Linked DNA regions of Diceros bicornis minor. The protein of the gene in region 3 purifies or fractionates together with the protein of the main gene of each other region. This does not show direct contact. Links are inferred from orthologs where the notes say so. Each region holds a gene or a part of one and is shown on either strand. Other genes may lie near its edges.

Region 1 (6,960 bases), on a different chromosome or scaffold from region 3:
AAAAATAAATAAACAAATAAAATTATTAAAAAAAAATGCTGGTTTTAAAAAATGCTCTTGGGTGGATGAATGAAGGAATGAGTGAATGAAGATGTAAGGAACAAATGTCCCAAAACTATAGACACAGTTAATTTTGGGAGTCAGAGAGAGAGAAACAAAGAAAGGAATATTGGAAATTTGACCCTGAAAACCTGTCAGGGGAAAGCGGGAAAGTGGTTTTAAAAAGAAAACAAGAGACACCACTTCTGAGACACTCTGGTTAAAAATGGAACTGCAAAACATTTAAAAAATTTTTTGTCATCTGTTATTGCTAATAATAATGGATATGTATTGTTAGTGCCATGGAATTGATTCAGGCTCCTAGCAACCCTGTGTACAGCAGAGCGGAACTCTGCCATGTCTTTTTGCACCATCCTCTCACCTTCCAGAGCTATATCAGACAATGCTCAGGGCTGCTATTCATAGGTGTGTGTGTGTGTGTGTGTGTGTGTGTGAGGAAGATTAGCCCTTAGCTAACATCTGTTGCCAATCCTCCTCTTTTTGCTGAGGAAGATTGGCCCTGAGCTGACATCTGTGCCCATTTTCCTCTACTTTATATGTGGAATGCCTGCCACAGCATGGCTTAATAAGCGGTGCAGTCTGTGCCGGGGATCCGAACCTGCAAACCCTGGGCCGCCGAAGCAGAGCGCATGAACTTAACGACTATGCCACTGGGCCAGTCGCTATTCATAGGATTTTCATTGCCAATTTTTTCAGAAGTGGGTAGCTAGGTCCTTCTTCTTAGTCTGTCTGTCTGGAAACTCTGCTGAAATCTGTCCACCATGGGTGACCCCACTGGTATTTGAAATACCGGTGGCATAGCTTTCAGCATCACAGCAACATTCAGCCACTATAGTATGACAACAGACAGACAGATGGTGTGGTTCCCAGTCAGGGAACATGGGCTGTGGCAGTGAGAGTGCCAAATCTTAACCACCACACCCTGTAGGAGCACTTAGATTATACAATTTTATTTATTAATATATTGTTTAACTTCACAACCTTATGAGATAGATGTTACTGCCAATTTACAGATTAGGTAACTGAGGCTGAGGAGAGTTAAAGCAACTTGCCTAAAGTCACTCAGCTAGTAAGTGCTGAAAATGGGAGTCAAACACAAGGCAGTCTAACTCCCAAGTCTCTGCTTTTAAAACCACTATGACTACTGCCTTTAAGGTGCTCCTCATGAAGCATGCTTGCAGGGTGCTTTTCTTCCACAGTTTAATTCAGCTACTATCATATTTCCAAAGAATCAGCATCAACTGGTCTTTCCTGAGCCTCGGTAGTCCATATTGAAGGCCCCTGGAAGCTGCCTCAATAAAGCAATAATTCCAGGCAGGATTTTTACTTTTTTTAAATTAAGAATTTGTTCATCTTTTTAAAAATACATGTGCTTCTTATAACAAAAATAAACAATACAGTTTGACATATATCCTTCCAGACATGCAAAGTTTAAAAATACATGAGCTTTGTAAAGATTCTACTAGAAAGTCATTGGAGATGGAATTGAAATGAGTAACAGTGAGAATTCTATAATGCCGTGCTTAAGGGTACAGGTTCTGAAGTTGAGCAGCCTTTGTTCGAATCCTGGCTTTGCTACTTTCTAGCTCTGAGACCTGTGGTAGAATAGCTTTCTTCTCTGTACCTTGGTTTCTCCACCTGTAAAATAGAGATATTAATGGTACCAATCTCAGAGAATTCTTGTGAGGATTAAATGAGATGATCTGTGTGAAGAATTTAGAGTAATGCCTGCTACCTTGTAAGTGGTCAATAAACATTAAGGAATACACAGGAGATATAGAGAGGCAGTGTGTCATAATGAGAAAAGCTGGGTTTGAACCCTGGCTCTACTACTTACTGGCTGTGTGAGTTTGGGCAAGTGCTTAACTTCTTTGATCCTCTGCCCTTATCTAGATTGTTATAAAGGAATAGGGATAACATATATAAAGTACCTGACATAAAATAAACACTCAATAAAAGATTGCTGCTTATCCATTATTGCAGCAATGGATGTGCTGCAGAGTCGAGCCAGTGATATAGGGAAGAACTGCTGAATCACATATTCTCTAAGTCTGACATTTGGCGTGGGAGAACTACCAACAGAATCAGAAGACTGGATTGGAGTCTTGTTTCCATTATATACTGGCCTACAACCTTGGGTAAATTGCTTAAACTTGTCATCATTTTCTTCATCTACAAAATGGACATAAGCACAGTAACTGCCCTGCTTCCCACACACATTTTTTAAAGATATAATTTACAAACTATAAAAATTCATCCTTTTAGGGGCCAGCCCAGTGGCCAAGTGGTTGGGTGTGCGCGCTCTGCTGCAGCGGCCCGTGGTTCACCGGCTTGGATCCTGGGCGCACACCGAGTACCACTTGTCAGGCCATGCTGTGGTGGCGTCCCATATCAAAGTGGAGGAAGATGGGCACGGATGTTAGCCCAGAGCCAGTCTTCCTCAGCAAAAAGAGGAGGATTGGCAGATGTTAGCTCAGGGCGGATCTTCCTCACACACACACAAAAAATCATCCTTTTAAAGTGTACAATTCAGTGGTTTTTAGTATATTCACAAAATTGTGCAACCACCACCCCTATCTAATTCTAGAACATTTTCATCACTCCAAAAAATAAACCTCACTCGCCATTCCTCTTCTCCTCCAGCCCCTTGCAGCCCTACTTTCTGTCTCTATATATTTGCCTATTATAGACATTTCACATAAATGGAATCATATAAGATGTGGTCTTTTGTGACTGGCTTCTTTCACTTAACATAACATTTTCAAGGTTCATACATGTTGTATAATGTATCAGCACTTTATTCCTTTTTATGATCGAGTAATAGTCCATTGTATAAATATACCACATTTTTTTATCCATTCATCTATTGATGGACATTTTGGATTGTTTCTACTTTTTGGCTATTATGAATAAAGTTTTATGAACATTAGTGTAGGATTTTTTGTGAGGTCTTATGTTTTTAATTCTCTTGGTATATATCAAGGACTGGAATTGCTGGATCATATAGTAACTATATGTTTAACTTGTTTTTTTTTGCTGGGAAAGGATCACCCTAAGCTAACATCTGTCGCCAATCTTCCTCTCTTTTTTTTTTTTCTCCCCAAAGACCCAAGTACATAGTTGTACGTTCTAGTTGTAAGTCTTTCTAGTTCTTCTACCTTAGCGGCTGTCACAGCATGGCAACCGACAGACAACTGGTGTGATTCTGCATCCAGGAACCCAACCCTATGCAAAGGGAAATTGCACAGAACTTTAACCACTAGGCAATCAGGGCTGTCTCTGTTTAACTTTTTGAGGCACTGCTAAACTGTTTCTGAAAGTGGTTGCACTATTTTACATTCACACCAGCGGTGTATGAGGATTCAAATTTCTCCATATTCTCATTGACATTTATTATTATTATAGCCATCCTAGTGGGTGTGAAGTAGTATCTCATCGTGGTTTTGACTTGCATTTCCCTAAGGACTAAGGATGTTGAGCATCTTTTTATGTGCTTATTGGTCATTTGTCTATCTTCTTTGGAGAAATGTCTGTTTTGTCCACTTGTAAATTGGACTATTTGTCTTTTCATTGTTGAGTAGTAAGAGTTCCTTATATATTCTGGATACTAGTCCCTTATGCACACAGGTTATTTTGTATGTTAAATGATATAGTGGCTGTGAGATCTTTATAAACTGTAAGAGGTACCACAAACTAAATGAAAGCTCTGACGAACGGTGAAAAGACAGAAGTATGAAGTTCCACGGCTTGGGGGGCGAAGCCCCTTGCATCCTTGGCGAACCAGCCGGTACCCACAATTTCCCCACCCCACGGCGCCCCGCCCTCCGCCCTTTGACCCGCGCCGTTTCCGGTTGGAGACGTGGCTCCAGGCCGCCATCTTGGCAAGAGGCGAAGCGGCAGCGGCCCCTGTCAGGGGGGTAGCAGGTCTGGAGCGGCTGGTACTGCCCTTCCCCTGACCCTAGCGCTATCCGCAGTGGAGCCGGAGCGCAGGTGCGCACCACCACCGCCCTCACCATGGTAAGTTCCGAGCCGGGTCCAACTCCCGGGGTCTGGCCTTGCTCGCTCGCTCTCCCTGCCGGACGGCTTGGTGCTGGGGCCACAGGAGCCCCGCCCCGAGGGCCTGCAGCCGGGCGCTTCCCTCAGGGCTGGGGGAGCGGCGTGGCCTTGCCCACCCTGTGCCGGGCCTCCCGGGAGATCCGATGGACCCGGCTCCAGTCCCTGTGTCGTCGCGCGCACACCCCCCTCCCGCCCCCGCCCAAACAGCTGGGACCCTCCGGGCCCTGGAACGGGCTTGGGGTTTTTGCGCTGCGAGAACCTCGTAGTGGTGTCGCTTGGACCCCATGCTGCGGCCTTCGGCGCTAATGTCCCGCCCGTTCCATGGGCGCCTGGGCTTAGCAGGCTGGGCCTCTCTCGGGGATTAGCTTCCTTCTGTAATCAGCTCTCCTCCCATCCCCGGTGTTCCGTAGGACATTGATACTCGAACTCCAAATCCATTGGTGTTCAGGACTTTTTCTTTTGTTTGTGAAAGGGGGAAATAGATGAAAGGAGGCATAAAACAGGAAGGAGTACCTTCTAACACTAATCTGTAGGACCCAACTGTCCCTGAAACCTTGCACTGCTTCTCCAGAATTTAGGTGTGTCCTTTTGTCAGTGGATTAAGTATACCCTGTGTATAGAGCACTGGGCAAATGTGAGCGAGTTAGAGAAAACACAGGCTGTCCTCAAGGAACTTACTGTTCCGGTAAAGTAAAATGTGTATGTGGCGTATCGTGATCAGATGTCTCACAGGAGCAGTAGAAACGGGTTATACTCTGGGACCTCTTACTTGGCTTCAAATGCGTTATCTTTGTGTTCTCATCTATTGTAGGGAAAAATTAACGTGGGTGAGGATGGGACAAAACAGTGCTGACTCCACTAAATCTTATTTTATCACTACAATTAGTGGATATTTATGAAGTAGGAGAAAATCTTTGGCTCCAAACGAGCTAGTAATTTATTTTTTAGTGAACTTTATGCCCTTCAGTGTTTTGAAGGATGTTCTTTTCTTTTTTTATTCTCTTTTTGTCAATAGATTAATAATTTGATTTAAAGCATTTTCCTGCACACTTGAGAGATGACAATATAATTTGGTGCCAGTAATGTTAAGTTCTATTGACAACGTTTTTTAGATGAGAACTTAGATGGTGGGGGGGATTCATGCTTGGGCTTAAAACCACTGAAAGGTTTTTTTCAGCTTCAGGCATATAAATTTTGTCAAGCAGGATTACCTCATAAAACTTTTACGTTGGACATAAAATTTCCAAAAACTCCTTTTTTCATTTTCACTAGGAGGCTTAGTATTTGGATAGTGATTTTTAAACTCCTTTTTGGATGTTTTTTACATCTTGGATGTATCTGTAGTGCATTTTAGAGCATGTTATAATTTTAATAGCGAAATTAAAGCCTTATATAAACCAAATATAGATAATCTTTACAAAAACTTTGTATGTTGAAAAGTTCTTGGAACTTAGTATTTTTAATTCATCGATAACTGCGGAATGGTAAAGCCCTAGGTGTTGACTGATAAACATAAAATATAAATTTTGTGTGTTACTCGGACACGTGCATATACATACAGTTGTGTCATATTTAGATATGCATATCTTTTTGAATTATTTAGGACTTGGCATGATCCAGATATCACAGATTTGTGTACTCTAGAGAACAGCTTATCTCAGTACATTCTGCTCTGTTGAATCTTAAGACGTTATTAAGTGTTATTGCTGTGTAATGTTTTTGGGCCCTATTCCTTTAGGAAGAGATCCCTGGACAGTAGAAACGTCCAAATAGGGTGACATTTGGTAAGATTTCTTGCATCTAAAAGTTGTATCAAAACTCCTGAAAGTTGATTTTTCCTTCACATTTTAGTATAAAATTTTCAAACATCTAGAAAAGTTGAAAGAATTTTACAGTGAACACCAATATAACCACCAGCTAGATTCTGTAATTAACATTTCACTATACTTGTTTTTCTCACACATCTAATCATCCATCCATTCTTCTATCCATCCTTTTTTTTAATGCATTTCAGAGTTAAGTTTCAGCTATCAGTACATAAATATTGATTTTTGAAAAATTTCCTTTACCTTTAGTTACTGAAATTCGTGCAAAATGTCCTACCTTGTGAAGTCCTAGTAGAGAAATAAATGAACAAATGCAAAAAGAAATGGCTTATGATGACTTTGTTATAAAATGAAGTACAAAAAAAGGCATCTTTTTTCTAGTTTTCTGCAAATTAATGAGAACATATTCTTATTTTCCTAATTTGTCAGATATCGTTAGAATCAGTTCTTTTTCTTAGTAAACTTACATTCGAATAAACTTGATATTTAGTCTCATGGTAGCACCAATCTGTAAAATCTTTGCTTATCTACAGAGTGCTGTTCTTATTTACTACTATAGGCAATGAGTAAACTTACTGTAGTGGTCAGATTAAATATAAATGATCCCAGTAAGTTCAGTTTCCAAAAGTCATTAGTTATTAGAAAGCTAGATTTGGGTTTGTATGGCAGATCTACACATGACGGGAGAAACTGAAATTCTACACAGTCATAACAGTTCCCAATTAGGGGATTATTATTGCTTGTTTTTTCCCTTTTTCATGTACAATACAGCAGCTGCACAGCTATTGTATTTTTTATTTATCTTTTTGATTGTTGTTTGAAAGGACAGCAAAGAATGAAAATGATTTTTTTGAGTTTTCCTTGATGGCCGTCTATTTATTCTCTGAGTAGGAAGTACACTGCAGAAAGTGAGAACTATGTCCATTTATTTTTATTCACTACAAGCTTGTGTTTTAGAACAGAAACTTGTGATAAGCTTAAAACTCTCACTGAGTAACTTTTCAAGTTTTAGGTTTTG
Region 2 (7,246 bases), on a different chromosome or scaffold from region 3:
GTGTTGATATTGATTCTCATCATTTCTGGGGACTTAGGTTTCCAAAGACCCTAAGCTGGTCACCCCCAGCCAAGAGCCGACTCATCTATTACCCCAGGACGCCCTACAAATATCATCCATTTCTATATGTGCCAAGATGCCATACAAATAACATTTTCTATGTCTCATGACATGACAAAGATTGGGAAGCACTGCACTAGAGGATGGATGATCTCCAGTCCAGAATGACTTGAGTTCTATGTAGCAATACCCCTCAAGTCCCCAGTGATCCATATAGAGACATTCTAGGGTCTCCCCATGAGTCTTATCCCCACTCAAAATTGGATGTGTTATTCATAAACTGTTTTAGAGCAGTAGTTCTCAACCCTGGCTGTGTATCAGAATATCACTCTGGAGTTTTAAAAAATACAGATACTTGGGCCTTACCTCAGATTTATTAAATTAAAATCTCTTAAGGTGAGGCCCAGGTAAGTGTTATTTTCAAAACAGGCTACATGTGGTTCTTTATTATACACAGCCAGGCATGAGAATTATGGCTCTAAAACCAAGGTACTGAAAACTTATAACCTGCATGAGACAAAAAGCGTAAGTACTTTTAGACTGCCAGCCAAGTAGAATTTTTCTCCCACGGGATCTGGTAAAATCTAGACATGGAAGCAGATCCTAAACATTGAACTATGTCTTATATATAGTAAATACTTAATAAGTTTATGTTGATAGTGATGATAATAAAATATAGAGAAATATCAGAATCTGGAATAACTTTAGTAAAGATCTAGCTACCAATGGCAGTCCCAAGTAAAACAAAAGACAACAGTTATTGCCACAGCATTTAAAACACAGGAAAAGGAAAAACTAGTCTGGCAAATAAAAAATATATAACTTCAGCTTCCAGGAGGACAGGAAGACAAGCTATGACACTGGACTGAAAAAATCTGGATTCTAATCTGGATTCCAGTTGGTAACTGTGTAGTCTTAAGTAACTTGCTTACTTTCTCTAGGGCTTCAATGAGGAGAAGCTTTTCCACCCCTATTCATCTCAGACTGTGCGGACAGATTAAAAAAGGAAAGAAAGAAAGGAAAAGAAAAGAAAAGAAACCCACATATAGCCCCCTTTGGGCACTTTAAAGGGGTCTAATAGAAACAGAGCATTATAATCAGAAAATCAAACCTGGGTCTTTTTCTCCTTAATTTTATCATGTTAGAAACCCTAAGTAAAGAGGGTATAGCTTGCTCAGGATGGACAAATACGATGAAGTAAGACTTAGAAATAAGTAGGTTGAAAAGGAAACAAGATCTTAATGAGGAAGTGGCCAGAGTCCAGCCCCTCCCCTCTTGTTTCTCTGTACTGGCACTTGGCTTTATCTCTAGAGGCTATTGCTTTGCTTCCCACAGGGCTGCTGCTCTAAGAACATGCAGCAGAATGACTCATTCTCAAAGAGGATATCTTAGAGCCCAGCTCCAGGAGGATAGGGTCGTAGCCTTTTGCACGAGAGTGGGATTCCAGCAAGACCAATAGTCTGATCTCAGCCCACACTGGACATGGCTCCCTTCTCCTCACAAACCCAGTTTAAGAACTAAATCCAACAAAAAATTTTATTTGGAACCAGTTAGCCTACTCTCAGTACTTCCTGTAACAGGGACGCGGGGCAATTAACATAGAGTATAGCTCATGGAAGGAAGCGTAGAAAAGTAGTAACTGCCACCTTGAGCGAGTCCTTCACTTCCCAGTGCCTCAGTTTTTTCCCACGAAATTGGAAGGTTTCACGCAATCATACAGTACTGCTGAGACCACACTACTTACTCAGCATCATCAATCAACATCTATTAAAGGCAGTTCAACTTTCAGCTTTGTGCAGGTATATTCTAACCATTTTTATAGGAGTAAACTGAAATTCAGAGGTGACCTATTTGAGGCTGAAGCAGCCAAGAGCTGAGTCTAAGTTTCCTGCTTACCTGCAAACTACATTCTGACAGAGCAACTAGCCACAGAAGAACAAAATCTGAAGAGAGCGGGTTAAGCAGCAGAGGAACCAGGATTCAGCCTTCAGATCACAACTTTTTCCCCTTTTATAGTTTTATAACCATGTTGTCATGGTACTCTGTTTTGGAACACCTTTACAAAGCATAAAGACAAATCTAAATGTTTCACTAATTCCTCTTGCAACAATTTGGCTTTCTCAATGCCTTCCCTTCAAATAGTTTACTGCCTTAAAGAAGCCCATCTTGGTTCCAAAAAGATCATTCAGAGTACGGATGATGACTGGACTCCACAGAATACGAGACTTCTTTCTGCTTAGGAAACAGTATAGTTTGCTACTTAACCTACTGGCTGGTTAAAACTTGGACCACCAGGGCTCACATCCTGGCTTCATTACTTATTGTCAGGATGATCTCGGAAGTTCCTCAACTTCTCCAAGTCTCAGTTTCATCATTTGTAAGATGAAGATAATAATAGAACCTACTTCATGGGGTTGTTGTGAGTTAAATAACATGCACGTGTAAGACACTTAATATGCAGCATTCACTAAATGTTAGCTCTTATTATCTTGCCTGGTTTGACAAATGGTTCTCTATTACCTCCAACCCACATAGCCTAATTTGTGTGTGCAGACTCCCAAGCAGGACTTGGATCTTTATATCTGGGGCCGACTGAAACATCAACAGTCACAAACACAAATCCCAACCTCAACTCACACTGGCAGCCAATCTGATGAGTGGCGTTGAGCAGACGAACACAGGGAGCTGTTTTATTTAAGGGGATGTAGATCTTCCTCTCCACTGAGTTTCCCCCACACAAACCTGATCAGAAGATAAAACGTGTTAGAAGAAAACAAGAGACATTGGTACCAGCCTCTATCATGTCATTAGCTCGCTGGACTGCTTGGGTATATCATACTTTCTAAAATGGGACTAATGTCCATTCTTCTTACTTCTTGGGCACATTATTGGAAAGATAAATGCACTCAGCTGTTTGCCTCAGAGGGTTACTACAAATTCCACATAGAGCAATTGACAATGAAGCTAAAAGACAGAAAATTTGGTTTGTCAAAGGAAAGGCAATTTAACCACAGATGTACTAGCTTTTGGTTGCACGGGTGACCACACTTCTGCTTTTCTATCCTGTATGTATATTACTAATTAGTTAATAAAAGAGTGCCAGTCTACGAACATAGATTAAAATAAAAAAATCTTTCTGAGACGTTTTTCCAGGAGTCTGAAGAGAACTGGGAGAAACCTTACACCACACACCTGTCAGTTACTCTAACATCAGTAGGTCATCCATGTGTGCCCACAGTGTGGGGCAGCTATAGTTTCTCCTTTGGAGATCTTTAAAAACAATGTAAGTTTGGGGGAAGGTAGGTCAGGGTTATAAACAGGCATGTTTATATTTTAGGGCTTGACCAACTAGAAAGCCATATATCAGAAAATAAATGTGTGTAAGCAAACACTTATGCACATTGTAAATGCCTAAAGTTCCCTGAATCATTCTTTCATGGTCTAAACAGTTAAGAGTACCCATATCCTATCTTTGTCTCACTTGCCTGACGAGACAAACTGAGGCAAAGCACAGAGACGCGGGTTTACAGTGGAATCAACAAACGAAGAAACGAAAATCTACTTTCCTAAGAGTCACACTGCGCACACACACAACCAGGCTGCTTTCAGAAAGTCTAAACGCGCTGAGAAGTGAAGCTGAACTCTGATAATGTCCGTTTTGATTGTAGGTGGGCTGACTGGGGCCACGGGGACAATGAGGCATCTGGATAAAGGGGGAGAGAGTCGGGCTGGAAGTCCAGGAAGAGGCCTGGAGGAGGAAATGGGGCGACATGACGTGCCGCAGGGGAAAAAGGACCTTCAGGTCCAGGCAAAGGGGGAACTTCTGTCGTGGGAACGAAAGAGAAGACGGATTTAGAGGGTGGGGGGACAGAGGGGCAGCGGAAACCAGAAGAAAGACAGCGGCGCTTGCGGTTGGGCCGATCCGGAGGGTTCTCCTTACACTGGAGCTCATGGGCGGGGAAGGCCTCACCTGCCAGTAGGACGCAGAAAGACAGAAGGCGAAGAAAACCTCGACTTCGCGGGTCAGCCACAGAGCCACCCCCCGCCGTGGCCATCTTGCCTCTCGGCTGAGCGGAAGCCTCGGTTCCCCTCTGGTCCAGCAGCGGCCTCTCTAGGCCAACACTGGCGCCGTCTCTGTGGCCCGGAGTTCCTCGGACCGGAAGTTGGTATCCGTGGAGCTTCCGGGAGCCGCTGCTGAGGGGCGCTGACGTGGAGGCAACCGAAGGGCGGCAGGGAGCGGTGGGGCTCTGATTAGCACCTTGGAGCCCGAGGCCTGAAGGATGCTAACCAAATTCGAGACCAAGAGCGCGCGAGTCAAAGGTAGTGAGAAGAAAAGGGGGAGTATGGAGGCTCGGTGTCAGGGGCGGCGCTCTCACGGGGGAAGAGAGAGAGGGTTGACGTGCCGGCCGAATTGGGCCCACCGTACGAACCCCGAGGAAAGTGGGAGGGAGGGAAAGTGGGAGGGAGGGAGGGAGGCTAGGCCTGGCAGGCGGTTCTCCAGTCCTCTCTTCTTTGTTGTGTCCTTGGGATTTGATTTATCTGTAGTGGTTCCCGCGTGGCAGGAGGGCCCTTAGCCCGCTTCCTATTCTTTCCCCTTCCCTCCTCTCCTAGGGCCTGTGCTCCCGTCATTTATTCTTCTGCTCTCAAGGCCCTGTGTGTTGGCTTTTTGACGACCGTGTTGTAAGGAGTGGCCCTGGGGATTGAGGATCGACCTCTACAATTCGCGTCTAAGTCAGCTTTTTCGGAGGCGAGCACTGGCTACTTCTCTTAAGGAGCCCTTGGCTGCACCATATCAACATCTAGTGCCACCACTGGGCTTTATTTCCTACCTGGAAACAGGACATTGAGGCCTGTAACCCCAGTAAAATCTGAGCTTGATAAGGTTGCCAGGTAAAATACAGGAAGTCTAGTTACATTTGAATTTCAGGTAATCAACAAGTAATTTTTTTAGTATTGCTCGTTGTTTATCTGAAATTCAAATTTAACTGGGAATCTTTATTTTTATTTCCTAAATATGGCAACTCTAGAGCTTGAGTATCAATGGATGGGGGTGGAGGGCAAATAACTGAAATCACTGTAGTAGTCTCCTAGAATGGTAGGGTGGGAAAGGCGGGGAAGTAAGGTCTCCTGAGACTTAAAAAAAGAAAACAACAACAAAAAAATATATATATATCTTGAACATTTAATGAGATGTAGCATAGCAAAGTGGTTAGAAACTTGGTGTTTGGAGTCAGATAGGCTTGCTTTGGAATCCTGAAACATCTACTAACAAGCTGTGTGACCTTGGACAAATTGCTTAACATTTCTAAATCTCTATTTTCTCATCTGTAAAATGTGAATAATTAACATTCTCTTATAGAGAGAATTAAAACGAGAAGGTATATGAAAAGTGCTTATTACAGTGCCTGGCGTAGACTCAGTAGCTCAAAAACTGGAGGTCATTATTAATGTGAGAAGAGATTCTGAGCAGTTTTTAAATGTCATGAGAATCTTGATCATGAAGAGTATCCTTAAGAATTCCTGGATGGTTGAAATGGGTCTTCATAATCCTTGAGTTTTCTCTTCTGCTCCTAACTTCTTGTTGGGTAGTAGAGAAAGAAAGTGGGAAAAAAAAGATGTCAGAATATTTGAGAGTTAATATCCATTAATGAGTATTTCTATATATCATAAAGGAAAAAAAACAACCTAATGGAACAGTAGACAATTTAGAAGAATGTAAATATTCAATGAAAGTAAATGAAAATGTTCTCCACTTTACTAGTAGTGAAAGAAATGCAAAAAAAAAAAGTGAGAATACCTTTTTTTCGGTCTTAAGTTAGTAAAACAAACAAAACAACAGATAAGTGATAACCTCTCACATTGGCCAAGGTGTGCAATATGGGTACCTTCAGAAACTTGGTGAGACTGTAATTGATAGTCTTTTTGCAGTCAGATAGTATCTACCGAAATGTTAAATGCACATATGCTATTCCTGAGCAATCCCACTTCCAGGTCTTTAGCCTAAAGCAATAATAATGCAAATAGGCTAGAATATGTGTGGAAGTGTCTTCATTAGGCCCAGTATTCTGATAGACAAAAGTTAGGGAAAAAAACGTAAAAGCCCATCAGTAGAATAATTTAAAAATATGATTCATTTGTACCTTGCAGTTTTTAAAAAGAATGAGGTTATGTTTATATGTACTTAAGTGTAATGAGATCCATGATATATAGTTAAGTGAGAAAAGAAGTTTGCAGAACATTATAATATTATCTCCATTTTAGTAAAGTGATATGGTCTGCATTAAAAATCTGAAAGGATACACTCCAAAATGTTAGCAGTAGTGACTTCTGTGGACTTCCGTTTCCAATCATAACGGAGTAACAGAGACCAGATTTATCTCACCACCTTAAACAACTGCACAACTGAACCGAATGTGGGAAATGAAGGTTTTCAGATGTTGGATGACAGGCAGTGAAGGAGAGTGATTCTTGAGAGAAGGGAATTAAACAAGATGAGTCCTATGATTGTTTTAGCTTACTACCTGGAGAGAGTTTCCAGGCTGCAATATAGGGAGGTGGGAAGAGCCCAGTGGTCTCACTGAGGAGACAGAATTTAAAGTTCAGGGAAGACAAGACAGCTAGAGTTTGCTGGGCAAAATACCAGAGAAGAGGGAGCTGCACAGAGAACCCTGGAGTTCTGCAGGGGATCCTGTCAGGGCTTTGTCTGAGGACTAATCTGCACATGCTTGTGAGGAAAAGTCCCAAAGCCTGGGAAAGAACCACTGGAGAGGAGAAGGTAGAACAATCTCTGGCGCTCACATAGAGCTGGGAATAGCTTGTGTTCCTAGCAGCCAGAATGGAAAGACCTCCTAATACTACAGGGCATCACATGGAGACCTCAGATGGGTGTTGCCTTAATAGTGGTGCCAAATTAGACCTAGTCTAAAGGCTGCTGGGGCCCCACCCTAACAAAACTTAAAAGGAAACCTCAGAAGGATCAGCTGATTCCAGGTAACTTAACTGCATCTTAAAACAAAGCCCAACAATATTTAAAGGAATATAACAAAAATCCAGCACCTAATAACAAAATTCATAATGTCTGGCATCCAAAGAATGAATGTATGAACCTAGGATTAACCTAGCTTTTTCTTTTTCATGTCAGAATTGACAGGAGGTGAAATTATGGGGCTTACTTAGCTTATTGGAT
Region 3 (7,579 bases):
AAACGTGGATGTGAGCAGAGAAGAAATAGAGGACTTCTTCTTTGACTGGAGAACTCATTTTACAAGGCCAGAAGCTGCCCCTAAAGCAAAGGTAGCCCTGAGTCTCTCTTATATTGCGAGGACCCTCAGGGCCGGCCCAGGACTCTGAAACTGCCCTGAGTCATCCTGGTGGACCGCCAGAACCGGGCAAGGCGCCCTGCTCTTGGCAAGATGCCCTGGCAGAGCCTCTTCCTGCTCTGGCTTCTGAAAAACTAGAGGTAAAAAGAGAGAGTTGGTGCCACCTGGAGGGCAAGAGTGGGTGCCTCAGATGAAGGCTGGAAAAATTCTTAGAACACAATAGTTCTTTTAGCTGGGGGCGTTGGGGTGGGGGTGGTTGTGGTGAGGGTGGTGAGAAGGTACCATAGAAATAATCTCTGCTTTTTTTAAATTAAAATTTTATTGAGATAATTGTAGATTCATGAGCAGTTGTAAGAAATAATACAGAGAGATGCTGTGTACTTTACCCAGTTTCCCCCAATGGTAACGTCTTGCAGAACTATAGTATACAGATCAACGGAATAGAAGCAAGAGTCCAGAAACAAACCTATACCTTATGGTCAATTGATTTTTGACAAAGGTGATGACACAATTCAATAAGGGAAAGAATAGTCTTTTCAACAAATGGTGCTAGGACAACTGGACATCAAGAAGCAAAAGAATGAAGTTGGACCCCTATCTCACACCATATACAAAAACTAACTCAAAACTGACCAAAGACCTAAATGTAAGAGGTAAAACTATAAAACTCTTAGAAAAAAACATAGAGATAAATCTTCATGACCTTGGTTTAAGCAATGATTTGTGTGTGTGTGTGTGTGAGGAAGATCAGCCCTGAGCTAATACCTGATGCCAATTCTCCTCTTTTTTTTTTGCTGAGGAAGACTGGCCCTGGGCTAACATCCGTGCCCATCTTCCTCTACTTTATACGGGATGCCGCCACAGCACGGCTTGACAAGCAGTGCATTGGTCCATGCCTGGGATCCAAACCTGTGAACCCCGGGCTGCCAAAGCAGAGCATGCAAACTTAACCACTACGCCCCGGGGTGGCTCTGAAGCAATGATTTCTTATATATGACACCAAAAGCACAAGCAACAAAGAAAAATAAATAAATCGGACCTCATCAAAATAAAAAACTTCTGGGGGCCAGCCCTGTGGCATAGTGGTTAAGTGTGTGCGCTCTGTTGCTGGCGGCCTGGGTTTGGATCCCGGGTGCGCACTGATGCACTGCTTGTCAGGCCATGCTGTGGCGGCGTCCCATATGAAGTGGAGGAAGATAGTCACAGATGTTAGCCCAGGGCCAGTCTTCCTCAGCAAAAAAGAGGAGGATTGCCATGGATGTTAGCTCAGGGCTGATCTTCCTCACACACACACACACACACACACACACACACACACACAAATAAATTAAATAAATAAATAAATAAAACACTTCTGTGCTTCAAAGCGCACTATAAAGAAAGTGAAAAGACAACCCATAGAATGGGAGAAAATATTTGCAAATCCTATATCTGATAAGGGTCTAGCATCCAGAATATATAAAGAACTCTTACAACTCTAAGGTAAAAAGATAAGTAACCCGGAGCTGGCCCTGTGGCACAGCGGTTAAGTGCGTGTGCTCCGCTTCCGTGGCCCTGGGTTTGCAGGTTCGGATCCCGGACGTGCACAGATGACTGCTTGTCAAGCCATGCTGTGGCGGCGTCCCACATAAAGTAAAGGAAGATGGGCATGGATGTTAGCCCAGGGCCAGTCTTCCTCAGCAAAAAAGAGGAGGGTTGGCGTTGGATATTATCTCAGGGCTGGTCTTCCTCACACACACAAAAAAGAAAAGATAAGTAACCCAATTTTGAAACGGGCAAAGGATGTGAATAGACATTTCTTCAAAGAAGATATACAAATGGCCAGTAAGCACCTGAAAAGATGTTCAACATCTTTAACCATCAGGGAAATGCAAATTAAAACTACAATGAGGTACTACATCATACCCACTAGGATGGCTATAACCAAAAAGACAATAACAAGTGTGAGCAAGGATGTAGAGAAATTGGAACCCTTATTGCTGGTGGGAATATAAAGTGGTGCTGATGCAGTTTCTCAAAAAGTTAAATATAGTTATCATATGACCCAGCATTTTTACTCCTAGGTATATACTCAAGAGAAAACATACGTCACACAAAAACTTGTACACAAATGTTTGAAACAGCATTATTCACAGCCAAAAAGTGGAAACCCAAATGTCCATCAACTGATATATGGATAAACAAAATACGGTACATCCATAAAATGGAATATTATTCAGCAATAAAAAGGAATGAAGTACTGATTCATGCTACGACATGGACAGACCTTGAAAACATTATGCTAAGTGAAAGAAGCCAGACACACAATAGGCCACATATTGTATGATTTCATTTATATGAAATATTCAGAATAGGCAAATCCATAGAGACAGAAAGTAGATTCACAGTTTTGGGGGTATCAGGAAGGAGAGTGAGGAATGGAAAAAGACCGCTAATGCATACAGGTTTCTTTTGGGCATGATGAAAATGTCCTGGAATTAGTGATGACGGGTACACAGCTTTTTGAATATACTAGGAACCACTGAATTGTATACTTTAAAAGGGTGAATTTTATGGTATGTGGATTATTTCTCAATTTTTAAATACTAGTAAAATTATTAAATACTATCATAACCAGGATATGGATATTGGTACAACCTCCCAATCGTCTTAAAATGTCCCTGGTTTCTCCTGTACTTTCAGTGTTCTCTGTTTCTACAAAGGACTTAGTGATTATCTACAAAGGACTTAGTGACTATCACGAAGAATGTATATTACATTTAAAAAATAATAAAAACCCTACAATTATACATACTTAGAGCTGGAGTCACAACACACAATTCTCATTCTCAGAAAGGTATTGTCAAAATTGTCCTTGGTATCTAGTTTTATAGAATTAATATCATAACAGGATATTTTAACCTAACACAACTCATCTGTATTTCATCATCTTAACACAACAATCCAAATCTCTGGGGTTCTTTTCTGGTTTTTAACCACGAGGCATCTTTATTTCACCTTAATTATGAATACTTTTACACTCTGCTTTTCTTGTTTAATGTCTCATTTATTATAAGAAGTTTGCATATTGCCTCCCAAGTGGTCAGAAATTCATTTATCCCTTTATAAAGGGTGTGGAATATTTCATCCAATAGACATACCATAATTCCCTTAATCATCCCCTTATTGCTGGGCATTTAGAGTGTTTTCAATTATCTTGCTGCAAACTGCTGCAGTGGGCACCTTTATTTTCTTCTTTTGGATGATTTCCCCGGATAAGGGGTGGGGTTTCTGGTTAAAGATTTTGAACATCTTTCCGGCTCTTGACAATTTCACGTTGGCACAAGATCTCCTCTCCCCATCCCCTGCTTTTCCCCAGCCACCAGACTCAGCCTCCGCAAAGTCTGACCCCAAAGGGTGGCCCCTCTGCCATCACCCCTCCTCCCACTTTGCTGTCACCCCCTTCTGCTTCACCCGCCAGCCTCTGCCCCCGCCTCCTGCCGCGCCTCTCCACCTCTGGCTCACCAGGGCTCCTTCTCCTCGTCGCTGGGCTTCAGGCTGCCCTCTCCCCAGGAAAGCTGGTGCCACGCGTCGCAGCGCTGGGTCATCCTGACTCGGCTTTGCCGTAGCAAATGCAATTTGGCACGTCTGCACGCACCGTCCTTACCTTGGCCTCGAGGTGTTCTGCGTAGGTCCCCAGGAAGATACACCCTGCGTGACGTTTCGTTTTCCCCTTCCAGTCCCTTCCTGTCCCCAGCGCTAAGCGGCGGATCTAGTAAGGTGCTCGATAAATACCCAAAAAAGCAACATTGAAGTCTCTATGCTGATCTTTTATTTTAGTTGGATTCCTGAAAGTCAACAAAATACAAAACAATTTGCACCAAGAGCAGATGTGATAGGGAGTGGGCAGATATGAATTATAAGAGCAAGTTCATGCATTAATTCGCTCAAGAATTTACTGAGCACCTGCTACATGCCAACGTCATCCACGGCAGAGAATAAAAGACAATAAAAGCAATAAAGTAAGAATACAGTGTTAGGTGGTGATTCGAGCTAGGAAAAAAAATCAGGCAGGAGAAGGGGACTGAAAGTGAGGAGTGGCTAGCGAGAGCTCCCGAGAATGTGACAATAATAACAACCACAGGTATCATTAACTGGGTGTCTGCTCCGGGCCGGTGTGCTGCGGGGCCTCACCTCCGAAAGCCAGTTTAAACTCCCGCCACAACGCAGTGAGGCAGGGACGACTACTACTCCCACTGTACGATAAGGGGGGCTCAAGGCGCAGAGTTAGGGTGCCCAGTCTGAGGCCTCCACCTGCCTGCCGCCCCCCCCAGCCCTCGGCCCCGGCTCCCCAGCCTCCCCGGCCGGGACAGGGTTAACGTCGGACGGGGCTGCGCGTCCGGAATATGCGCGTGCGCAGAGCTCAGAGTGCGCGTGCGCAGAGCGCAGGGCTACGTGGCCAGCCGGAAGTGGCCTGTGCGGAACCGCCGCAGTGTCTCTGTTGGTCGCTGCTACGTCCCAGGACAGAGTTACTGTGTTGCGCCCTCGCCGGCACCACCATGCTGAAGAAATTCGACAAGAAGGACGAGGAATCAGGTGAGGAGTCCCATGCCTGTGCTTAGGCCTAGGGGAGGCCGGACCCCCGCGCAGGCTCTCAGCATCCTCCCTGGGAGCCCTCCGTTGGGGCCTCTGTCCTATCCGAGGCCGAGGCCCAATGAGGGGGCCCCCTCGGCAGGGGCATGTGCGAAGGTCCACCGCTGGTCAGTGGCAGGCCTCGGAGAGCCCGAGCATGCTCCACGGCCCTTCCACTCGCAAGCTTGGGCTGCGATTCTCTGGGTGACCATGGGCGCGTCACGCGCCTCTCTGGGCCTCAGTTTCCCCATCTGTCAGGGGAGGGGACCGAGCCAGATGCTCCTTTGTTGTTTTCTCCATCCGAACTCTTGGGATTCGCCGGGGCTGCGTTGGTGTTGTCCAAACTGGGGCGCAGTCTGCGGAGCCGGTGTCCAGTGGCTGAGAACCCTGACTCTTTCATTCTTTTACTCAGCAAACGTATGTTGAGTGCTTACTGCATGCCACGCACGGTATTGTGTCCTGATACTGCAGTAGAACAAGTGAGACACTCAGTGCTTGAGCTGGGAATTTTAGAATGATAGCAGGCATAGTGGAGAAGGCAGAGATGGATCAGATAATCACACATGTAATTAATTACAAATGTGACACGTGCTGTGAAGGAACCCTAGTTACTGGGGAGATGGTGGTCCCTGCACACAGTAGGGACTCAGTTAGGTACCAATTGCATAAATGAATGCAAAGCAGGACACTATGAGAGGAACAGAAGGATGGTCCCAGGGCCGCTAGGTGACTGTGAGTAAGTGGTTTGGGGTAGAGTGGAGCCCCCTTGCAGGAGAGCTGTTGTATCTATAGGCAGATTGTAAAGCTTTGATTGCCATGCCAGAGGAGTTGCAACTTGACTAGGTAGACGATAGGGACATCTTGCTAGAATTCAGGGTCATAACCTGAATTTGGTCTTCTCTGTTCTCTGACTGTAGGTGGAGGCTCCAACCCATTCCAGCACCTTGAGAAGAGTGCAGTACTCCAGGAGGCAAGTGTCGTTTGCTCCCCTGTATCTTCCATCATAAATGTTCATGATTGCATAAATGTTCATGATTGATGCGATCGAAATACTAATACATTCAAACTGCTGGTTTAAAAAACAATAGGAGAGAAACCTGTTCCTGGAAAGACAGAAAAACTTTGTTCCTGAAGAGAGTTCGTTATGCTGACACTTTTGTTGTTGTTGTTCTTCATTTCTCTTTCTAGTTAACAAGTGTTTACTAGTATCTGTTAGTCAATAAGTCAGCGCATTCCTAATTAATATTTAGGGAAGATTTCAGGAGTTGTTAATAGATGAATTAAGAGGAAAAAACCAAAACTCTTTCCTTATGAGAATAAGCTTGTCTAGGCAAGTGTATTTATGTATTCCAGGTCTTCTCAGACATTGAATGTGCTTGAGGGGAGTCAATGGAAGGGAAATAAGTTGGGCTGGAGGTTAATATCCTTGGTCACTTCTTCTCAGGCCCGTGTATTTAACGAAACTCCCATCAACCCTCGGAAATGTGCCCATATCCTCACCAAGATCCTTTACCTCATAAACCAGGTAACAGGGTGAGACTTGAGGTTGGGGAAAACGGTATTGGGGGATGTTGGGAGTTGCCTAAGGGCTGTTTGACAGCCACCGTGTGGTTATAACCAATGGCCCAGCTCTGGGTCCCCTCAGCGTCCAACTCTGATATGTTGCCTTTAATGGAACCTCTGCACGGTCTGAGGATCCATCCTGGGCTGATTTGGCAGGAAGGGCCTTCTGGCCCCTTTGTCCCAGGCTGAGACTTCTTTCTTGATTAAAATAGGGGGAGCACCTGGGGACCACTGAAGCAACGGAGGCCTTCTTTGCCATGACCAAGCTCTTTCAGTCCAACGATGTAAGTGCCCCACCCCCAGATTTCCTCAAGAGGGGACAGCTGTGACAGGGTGGTGGGAGGGCCAGGGGAAGGTGACTCCATCTGTCAGTGTGGACTGCCTTTGTGTCGATTGGAGTTTTCTTTTCCTTTCCCTGGCCCTCATGCTGAGCCAGGGGTCATAGGGCTTTTCCCATCTCTTTTCCAGCCCACCCTCCGTCGGATGTGCTACTTAACCATCAAGGAGATGTCTTGCATCGCAGAGGATGTCATCATTGTCACCAGCAGGTGAGTCTTGGGTCTGTGGATGGCTCCTCTGATGGGTTCCATTGATACAGAGGCCATTTTTTGCCATGTGTACCAGGTCATGAGACTTTTGTTTGACATATTGCCAGGCACCCTTTCCTCTTCTGTCTCCCTCATCCTTCAGTTACTGCTGTCCATCCCATAGCAGCCTCCAGAGTGTGTGCTGTTTCCCTTTTCATTCTCTGGTCTTAACTTGGGAGCAAACCCTTCATTTACTTGATTCCTCTTAGTCAACTGAGCCAGCGTGGAACTTTCACAAAGACTTTAGTGAGTGTTCAGAGAGAACACAAGAAAAACAGACATAGAGAATGCAAGAGTATACAATTAGGCTTGCTTACCCAGTACTGGTTTCTGCATTAGGCTGAGTGATTCAGGGGACAGATGTGACTGAGGTATAGTCCCTCCCCTTAAGAACTGGGGCTTAATTCTCTTATTTCTTCCTGCAACATGTTTTGTGGGGGGATGTTATATATTCACTTGTAGGTCTATTTACAAAATAGTTATTGAGTGTTTACCAGTCCCTGTGGGTAGCTCTGGGAATAGAGCAGCAAACAAGACAGACATGGCCTCTGCAGCCCCAGAATTTACAGAGAAATAAGCAGGCAGTGGGCCCTTAAGATTGAGTAGATTACGGTTTATTGTGGGAAGTATGATGGGCTGTGAGAGCAGACCACGGGGCTCCCCAACTTGAATTCGGATCAGGAAAGGCCTCCTAGAACTGT
Region 4 (7,153 bases), on a different chromosome or scaffold from region 3:
CTCAATGCAACGTGGACTGCCCCTCTATCCTAGCTCATACTGGAATAGCCTACATCTTCTTGACATCTCCCCAAAAGCTTCAGAGGAGGAGCCGACTTGAACTGGCTCTAGGGACCCCTGGGATTGCAGAGACAACAGCCTGGGTGCTGGTGCGCTGGGCCTCAGTGACACCCTAGAGCATAGCAAATCTGCTGCAGGGGTTCCTGGGGACAGCCCGAGGCCCCTGGCCCTTCTAGTTAAGGGCAGGTCTGAAAAACCCCAAATCCTGGCTCCAGCTTCAGGAGAAGTGACCATGGCGAATCCCTTGGTCTCTCTGAGCATCCTTGAGAGAGTTCTCTGAAATCTCTGGTCTGAGCAGAGGCCCCACAGCACCGAGTCTGGCCGTGTGCCTCACATCTGCACCTTGGCCCCTCTTGGGCCTCCGTGAAGGGCTCGGGGGGGGGGGCCCGCTCAAGCTCACTTGCACGTGTTGGTGAAAATGATGATGGACCAGTCCTCGTGCTCGTCCTGGAAGTTCTGGATCAGGTGGACCAGGTAGGCATCCTTGATCTTCTCAGGCACCAGCAGGTAGCGCTGATCCAGCTGCTCCACCGTGCGTACCCTGGGGACAGGTGCGCCATGTGTCCCCTTCTGCTGAATGGGGCCAATGCCCCGCCCTGCCCACGGGTAATAGCCTCCATTGGGGATGCCCCCCCACCCCCTGCCTGCGCTGCTGCTCTTACAGGGCCTGAGCCTCCCAGAAGAAGGGCTGGTTGGTGGCCAGGCCCTGCAGCTCCCGGAGCGTGTCGGTCAGTGTGGCACTGAAGAGCAGGGTCTGCCTGCGGGCCGGCACGGCCGCCAGGATGGTCTCCAGGTCCACAGTAAAGTCAGTGCAGCCCTGCTCCAACAGCCGGTCCGCCTCATCCAGCACCTGCGGTGCCGGTGGCGGGGGGTGGGGGTGGATCTGGGGTGAGGGTGCTGTCTGGGGCCTGACCCGCCTCCCCCATGTGCCTCCTTCCCTGCCTTGGATGTGAGCCCTGGAGAACTGTCCCTCTAGGTCTCGGAGGCCTGCTCCCTCACCCATCTTGGCTTCTACGTCAGCTCCTCCGAGAGACCCTGCCCCAACCATCTTCCTAGTACAGGTCCCCTCGTTGGTCCCTGAGTGTCCTTGTCACTGTTCCCAAAGCTCTACTGCATGGCCTGTGGGACGCATGTTTCCCAAATAGATGAATCAGCGCCCCAGGCCAACTCACCAGGAAGCGGATCTTCTTTATGCTGAAGGTGCTGGAGCTGCGGAGGTGGTCTGCCAGGCGCCCCGGAGTGGCAATGACCACGTGTGGTTTCCGGGAGAGCTCCAGGGCCTGAGCCACCATGTCTGTGGGTGAAGGGCGAGAGGTGGGGCTGGGCAGGTGGTCCAAGGCTGCAGAGGGCCACACTCAGAGCCTCCCCGAGCCCTCCGTACCCATGCCGCCTACGATGATGCAGTCTTTCAGGCCCAGAGGCTTCCCCAGGACCCGGAACTGCTCTGCGATCTGGTAGGCCAGCTCCCTGTGGGCATGAAGAGGCCGGGTTGGGTCAGATAGGGGTTCTGTGCCTTCTCCCATTCCTGTCTCCACCCGCCGGCGTCTCCTGACTCACCCTCTCCCGTTCACACACCCTTCAGGGCTCCCAGTCCCCTGTGGTCAAAGGCTCTGATGCTGAGCGTTGGAGGCCCGCTGTGGCCCCTGCACCCTCCCCAGGCTGGGCCCCAGATCAGCCCAGGGCCCTGCCCCCCCCCCCAGTCCCATCCAAACTGGCCTTTCCTCCTCCCACGTCCTCAGCAATGGTCTCAACACCAGTCACCAAAGCCTGAGACCCGAGCATCAGTCCCCCCTCCCCGGGGCTGGTCAGTGTCCAAGTCCCCTCCTCTGTGCCTCAGGCCCAGCTCTGCCCAGGCCTCTCCTCGGCCCCTGTCCCCACTTCCTGGCCTCCTGTCTTGCCCTTTCCTGCTCACACACCTTCTGAATCAATTCTAACCTGACATTCAAGGCCCTTCTCAAGCTGGCTCTAACACACCTGGCCCACAGGACCCTTTCTGTTCCCTGCCTCTCAGACCTCTGCATGAATGCACTAGCAGATCTCTCCGCCTAGAATGCTTTCCCCAAACTTGTCCTCTTGAGAGACCTTTTCCATCCATTAAGGCACCCCTTGAATGAAGCCTTCCTCGACGCCCCCTTCCCTGGCCACGCCCTCAACAGCATGCAGCGCCTGCCTCTTCTGTGGCCATCACAGGACTTGTCATTTCAACTGCCACACGTGTCTGCCCAAGAACTGGAGATGTGTTTACAGTCAGGCATCACTTGACAGGAACCCGTTCTGAGAAATGCGTTGTTAGGCAATTTTATGGTTGTGCGAACATCACAGAGTGCACTTACACAAACCTGGGTGCAGCCTCCTACATACCCGGGCTCTATGGCGCTGATCTTATGGGACCACTGCCATATATGCGGTCTGTTGTCGACCGAAACATCGTTACGTGGCAAGTGACTGTATTTCTTGGGCTGTAAGACTACTGATGGCTCCTTTCCGGCAGTGCCTGCCCTGAGGCAAGCCCTGTGCCCAGCACTTTTGGCACACCGTCTTGTTTAATTCTGCAGCACTCCTATGAGGTGGCCTCGATTTCTGTCCCCATTTTGCACATGGGGAAAGTGTTGCTCAGCAAGGTAAAGGCGCCTGCCTGAGAGCACAGCTGGTTAACTTACCCAGGAGACCTGTAGGGGGCTCACCTGGTGGGTGTCAGGACGAGGCAGAAGATGCCATAGGGATCCTCAGACAGCTTCTGCAGGATGGGCAGGACAAACGCTGCTGTCTTGCCGCTGCCTGTCTTGGCACAGCCCAGGCAGTCCCGACCTGGGCAGAGGGCAAAGCAGCATCAACACACTTTAGGTGTAGACGGGTGTTCCATTTGGCACAGTTGACAACAGCTGACATTTAATGAGCAGTTACTGTGTGCCCAGTACTGCCTATGCCATTTCCCCTCCGAACATACTGACAACGTTCCATTGCTGGTAACTGACAAATTCTAGGAGGGAAAGGCCGTTATCATCCCCATTTAACAGAAGGCAAAAATGAGTCTCAGAGATTTGTCCAGGACACACGGCTGGCTGATGCCAGACTAGACTGGAACCCTCATCCATCTGACCCAATATGCCTGCTACTGACCACTACCTCATTTTGACTCCCTTCCAGAGCACCTGAGCTTGGGGAACCTGGAATGCCCTCCCCAATCTGCATCCTATGCTCCCTGTTAATTCTTCCATCTTTATTTAATCCCTCAAATTGTCTCATCCTAGGCTTCTTGAGGGCCCCTCAGTAATGGCAAATTAGGTCGGGCCAGAAGAGTGGGGAGAAGAGCAGTCACGGGACCAGCGTCCTGGATTTACCAGTAATGTTGACAGCCTCAGTTTCCATTTGTAAAATGAAGATAAGTAGTGCAAACTCTACCAAATCTTCCCAGTACTATCGATTAATCATTTATGAAACCCTCCCTGTTCTGAAGCTATAAAAGTTTCAGAGATTATATCACTTGTGCGAGGACACACAGCCTAACACCAACACTGCCCAGTCTGCCTCCGGAACCTACACTCGCCCGTAACGCCCAAGCCTGCCCCACGCCTCACAGGACCGGCGTGGGCAAAGAATGAGAGGCAACAGGAGTGGAGATGCCTCTGGGAAGAGGCCGGGCCACACTCACCCTCCAGGATGGCGGGGATGCAGCCGAGTTGTACGGGCGTGGGCTGCTTCAAACCCAGCTGCCGACATTGTTCCACCAGCCACGACGACAGGCCGAGCTCCGCGAAGCCGGCCATCCTCGCCGCCAGCCCCGTGTGAGCAGCCGTGTGTAGAGGCGCTTCCGGCGCGTGCTGATGACGTCACGAAACCTCTCCCGTTAATTGGATCCGCCTCCTGCATGGTCCCGCCCTCTCCAGCTCACTCTGCCATCGACCGCATCCTTACCATATTTCCCCGAATCCCATTGGCTCGCAGGATCGAATCAAACTACAATTCCCGAGATGCCCTGCGAGACGCACTCGCGTCCCCCGTACCCCCGTTTAGGCGTCTCCCATTGGCTCATCTCCAGGCCGGAACGAGTGAACTACATTTCCCGGCCCCGCGGTGGCCCCCTGCTTCCGGCCGACGTGTCCCTCAGGAAGAAGAGCGGTTGCGACGATAGCGATATGGCGCCTCCCGCCCCCGGCCCGGCCTCCGGCAGCTCAGGGGAGGTGGACGAGTTGTTCGACGTGAAGAATGCTTTCTACATTGGGAGCTACCAGCAGTGCATCAATGAGGCGCAGCGGGTGAAGGTGCGGCCGCTCCGGGCCCGGGACGCTGGGGGCGGGGACGGAGGAAGCTGCCTGGTGGCCGCGAGTCGCGGTCTGACTTTAAGAACGCTTCCTCTTCTCGCGGCGGTTTCCCCTCACGCATCTCTTGAGAGCGCGGTGAGGAGTTATCTTGTCCCATAGCAAATCTCAGAGCAGTAACAGTTCATAGTGCTTCTCACTCAGAGCGCTCGCTCTGCGTCCTGGAAGCATTGGAGTAAGAGAGGCATTTGTATCATGTAGTAATAATGTTCTCCTTTGTTGAGCGGCCCACACTGTTCCGCCAGACCCTCAATTCCCGTGAAGTAGGGACTGCTGTTTATCCTCATTTTACAGAGAACACTGAGGCTCAAGAGAGAAATGGCTTCCCCGGTGTTATCCTGCCCCACTAGCCCGGTCATTTGTCCCCAGACGTGCTTGTTCAGTTATTCATTCGTTCGTTCCTCATTGAGCATCTCTGTGGGCCAAGTAGTGTATTCGTGCTGGGCTCAGAGCAGTGACAAAACAGACAAAACTCCTAGCATTTTCAGAAACCTCAGCCTCTCAAGGGAGACAGACAGTAAAGGAGTAAATAAACAAGAAGTCAAGAGGTGGCGTGATGGAGAGTGGTGGGAATGAGCTTGGCTGTTTGAGAGCTAGAAAATAGCCCTGCAAGGCAGGGCCCAGCCAGCCAGTGACAGGAGAGGGGGCACCAGGGGCCATTAGCAGCAACTTTTGGGGAGGGACATGATGTTACTGACACTGCGAGAGTGAACCATTGGAGAACTTTTAAGAGCAGTGAAATTGGCAGTCTTGCCTGCCTTCACAGTCTAGTGTTCCAAAGAGAGTAAGCAAGTAAAGAAGCTAGTGAATACGTAGTTACAACTTGAGCACTCTGGGGATGGGGGTAGATAAAAAGTGCTGAGAATGGAGAAGGAGGGTGCTGCTTCATGTGGGAGTGGTCAGATCAGGCCAGGCCTCTCTGATTGTCATTTGAACCTGAGGCTGAATCTTGAGAGGCGTCTGACCCCATAAACTGCTGCAAAAGTGCTGAGGCAGGGATGAGCTTGGCGTAGCCCAGGCATAAGGGGTCAGTGTAGCAGAAGTGGGGCAAGCGATGGGGAGGATGAGAATGAGGTGGGCAGGGCCTTGGGGTCACGGCAGGGCTTTAGATTTTATTCTAAAGGCACAGGAAGCCACTGGAGCACCTAGTGAGAGAGTGGCAGGTGTCTTCACAGAGGCAGCCAGAGAGTTGGGAGGAATTTAGACTCTGAAGTAGAGAAGGCTTGTTTTCCATGCTTTTCGCCTTTTGCAGTGTACCTGATTTCCCTGCACGTCATCTGTATAATGGGGATAAAGCCTCAAACAGATTTCAGAAAGCGGTTTGGATTTCTTGAAATAACGTTTGCATGATTGCATGAGTTTTCTGTTGCCGCCGGGACAAATTATCTCAAACAATAGCTTAAGATGACACAAACTTATCTCAAAGTTTCTATACGTCAGAAGTCCAACACGGCTCACCAGGCTAAAATCAAATTGTCAGGTGGGCTGTGTCTTTTCTGGAGATTCCAGGGAAGAATCTGCTTCCAAACTCATTCAGGTTGCTGGCTCTCTGCCTGGGACCACCTAAGTTACCTCCTAGAAGCTTCTCTCCAATTCTCAACCTCCATGTAGCCCCTCCATCTCAGAACTAGCCGTGGGGTTCTCACAGTTGGAATCTCTCGAATTTCCCCTTCTGCATTCCTTCTGTCTGTTAGCTGCTATCAGCTTCTGTGATTGGGCTGTGCCCTCCCAGATAACCCAGCATAGTTTCCCCCTCTTAGGGTCCATAACCTTAATCACAGCTCTGAAGTCCCTTTTGTGACGTGATGTAAGCTATTCACAGATTCCAAGGACTGGTGTGGACATCTCTGGGCAGCAGGGGTGGGGGGTGCCTTATTTGGCTCACCACCACAATTTTATGTGTCTCTTGGCTGGGGTAGTGTGGGCTGCGAGAAGATTGAGACAGACCTGGGCTCAGATTTCGGCTCTGCTACCAGGGCTGAGTCATTGCACCTCTTTGAGCTTCTGTTTTCCTCTCCTGTCAAATGGGAAAAATGATGCCTATCTCATTAGGGTCACTGTGAGATTCAGTGTTACACTCACATTCCACCTTTTGACTTCTACCGTATGTCTGTTCTGCTTACTTCATAGCGATGTGTTCTTTTGAGTCATTATATGCAGACTATACACTGCTGCTGAAAGGGAGAACCAGCATGACCTGCTGCACATAGAGAGTGTCTGAAAATGAAGATATGGAAACCATGTCAGTGGTCACTTTGGCTGGAGGCACACTGCTCAGCCTCTGAGCTGGGGACCTGCGCCCTCTTTGGCGATGTGATCAAGAGGTGCTGCCACCAAGCCAAGGTGTTCTCCCTGAAGCATCCAGAAGAATGGAGCACTCTCCCCCCTGAGCCATTTGATGTGATTTAATTCTGATCCATAGGCCACCTGAACCGTCCTGGGCAGGCTGTACTGGGTTGAGTGGTGTCCCTGAAAAGATATGTCTACCCAGAACCTGTGAATGTAGCTTACTTGGAAAAAGGGTCTTTACAGATGTAATTCAGTAGGATCTCTAGATGAAGTCATCCAGGATTTAGGATGGGCCTTAAATCCAATGAGAAGTGTCCTTCTAAGAGAAAGGCAAAGAGAGGTTTGAGACACAGACAGAGAAGACAGAGGCAGAGATTGGGGTGATGAGCCACAAGCCCAGGAACACCTGGAGTCCCAGAAGCTGGGTGAGGCAAAGAAGGATCCTCCTAGAGAGCCTTTGTGGGGAGCCACGGCCCTATTGACAC

What was found.
Region 1: the proteins of COPG1 (region 3) and ARCN1 purify together in Homo sapiens (affinity purification with mass spectrometry; 6 studies listed by BioGRID and IntAct, counting the BioPlex papers as one, with this or other methods). This does not show direct contact. The link is inferred for Diceros bicornis minor from reciprocal best matches to the Homo sapiens genes COPG1 and ARCN1.
Region 2: the proteins of COPG1 (region 3) and COPA purify together in Homo sapiens (affinity purification with mass spectrometry; 6 studies listed by BioGRID and IntAct, counting the BioPlex papers as one, with this or other methods). This does not show direct contact. The link is inferred for Diceros bicornis minor from reciprocal best matches to the Homo sapiens genes COPG1 and COPA.
Region 4: the proteins of COPG1 (region 3) and COPE fractionate together in Homo sapiens (co-fractionation; 6 studies listed by BioGRID and IntAct, counting the BioPlex papers as one, with this or other methods). This does not show direct contact. The link is inferred for Diceros bicornis minor from reciprocal best matches to the Homo sapiens genes COPG1 and COPE.

Annotation. Positions count from the first base shown.
Region 1 is NC_080746.1:18,320,114-18,327,073, reverse strand, and holds the start of ARCN1 (coatomer subunit delta), read left to right. Parts: upstream 1-3,944; 5' UTR 3,945-4,074; coding exon 4,075-4,077; intron 4,078-6,960. UniProt on the Homo sapiens protein: Component of the coatomer, a cytosolic protein complex that binds to dilysine motifs and reversibly associates with Golgi non-clathrin-coated vesicles, which further mediate biosynthetic protein transport from the ER, via the Golgi up to the trans Golgi network.
Region 2 is NC_080743.1:65,001,499-65,008,744, reverse strand, and holds the start of COPA (coatomer subunit alpha), read left to right. Parts: upstream 1-4,239; 5' UTR 4,240-4,340; coding exon 4,341-4,380; intron 4,381-7,246. Other genes in the region: NCSTN (nicastrin), read right to left, coding at 2,698-2,802, 4,031-4,115. UniProt on the Homo sapiens protein: The coatomer is a cytosolic protein complex that binds to dilysine motifs and reversibly associates with Golgi non-clathrin-coated vesicles, which further mediate biosynthetic protein transport from the ER, via the Golgi up to the trans Golgi network.
Region 3 is NC_080741.1:89,473,953-89,481,531, forward strand, and holds the start of COPG1 (coatomer subunit gamma-1), read left to right. Parts: upstream 1-4,570; 5' UTR 4,571-4,655; coding exon 4,656-4,692; intron 4,693-5,645; coding exon 5,646-5,698; intron 5,699-6,172; coding exon 6,173-6,253; intron 6,254-6,503; coding exon 6,504-6,575; intron 6,576-6,759; coding exon 6,760-6,839; intron 6,840-7,579. UniProt on the Homo sapiens protein: The coatomer is a cytosolic protein complex that binds to dilysine motifs and reversibly associates with Golgi non-clathrin-coated vesicles, which further mediate biosynthetic protein transport from the ER, via the Golgi up to the trans Golgi network.
Region 4 is NC_080759.1:6,465,266-6,472,418, reverse strand, and holds the start of COPE (coatomer subunit epsilon), read left to right. Parts: upstream 1-4,145; 5' UTR 4,146-4,196; coding exon 4,197-4,322; intron 4,323-7,153. Other genes in the region: probable ATP-dependent RNA helicase DDX49, read right to left, coding at 461-601, 723-910, 1,233-1,354, 1,442-1,527, 2,745-2,868, 3,713-3,827. UniProt on the Homo sapiens protein: The coatomer is a cytosolic protein complex that binds to dilysine motifs and reversibly associates with Golgi non-clathrin-coated vesicles, which further mediate biosynthetic protein transport from the ER, via the Golgi up to the trans Golgi network.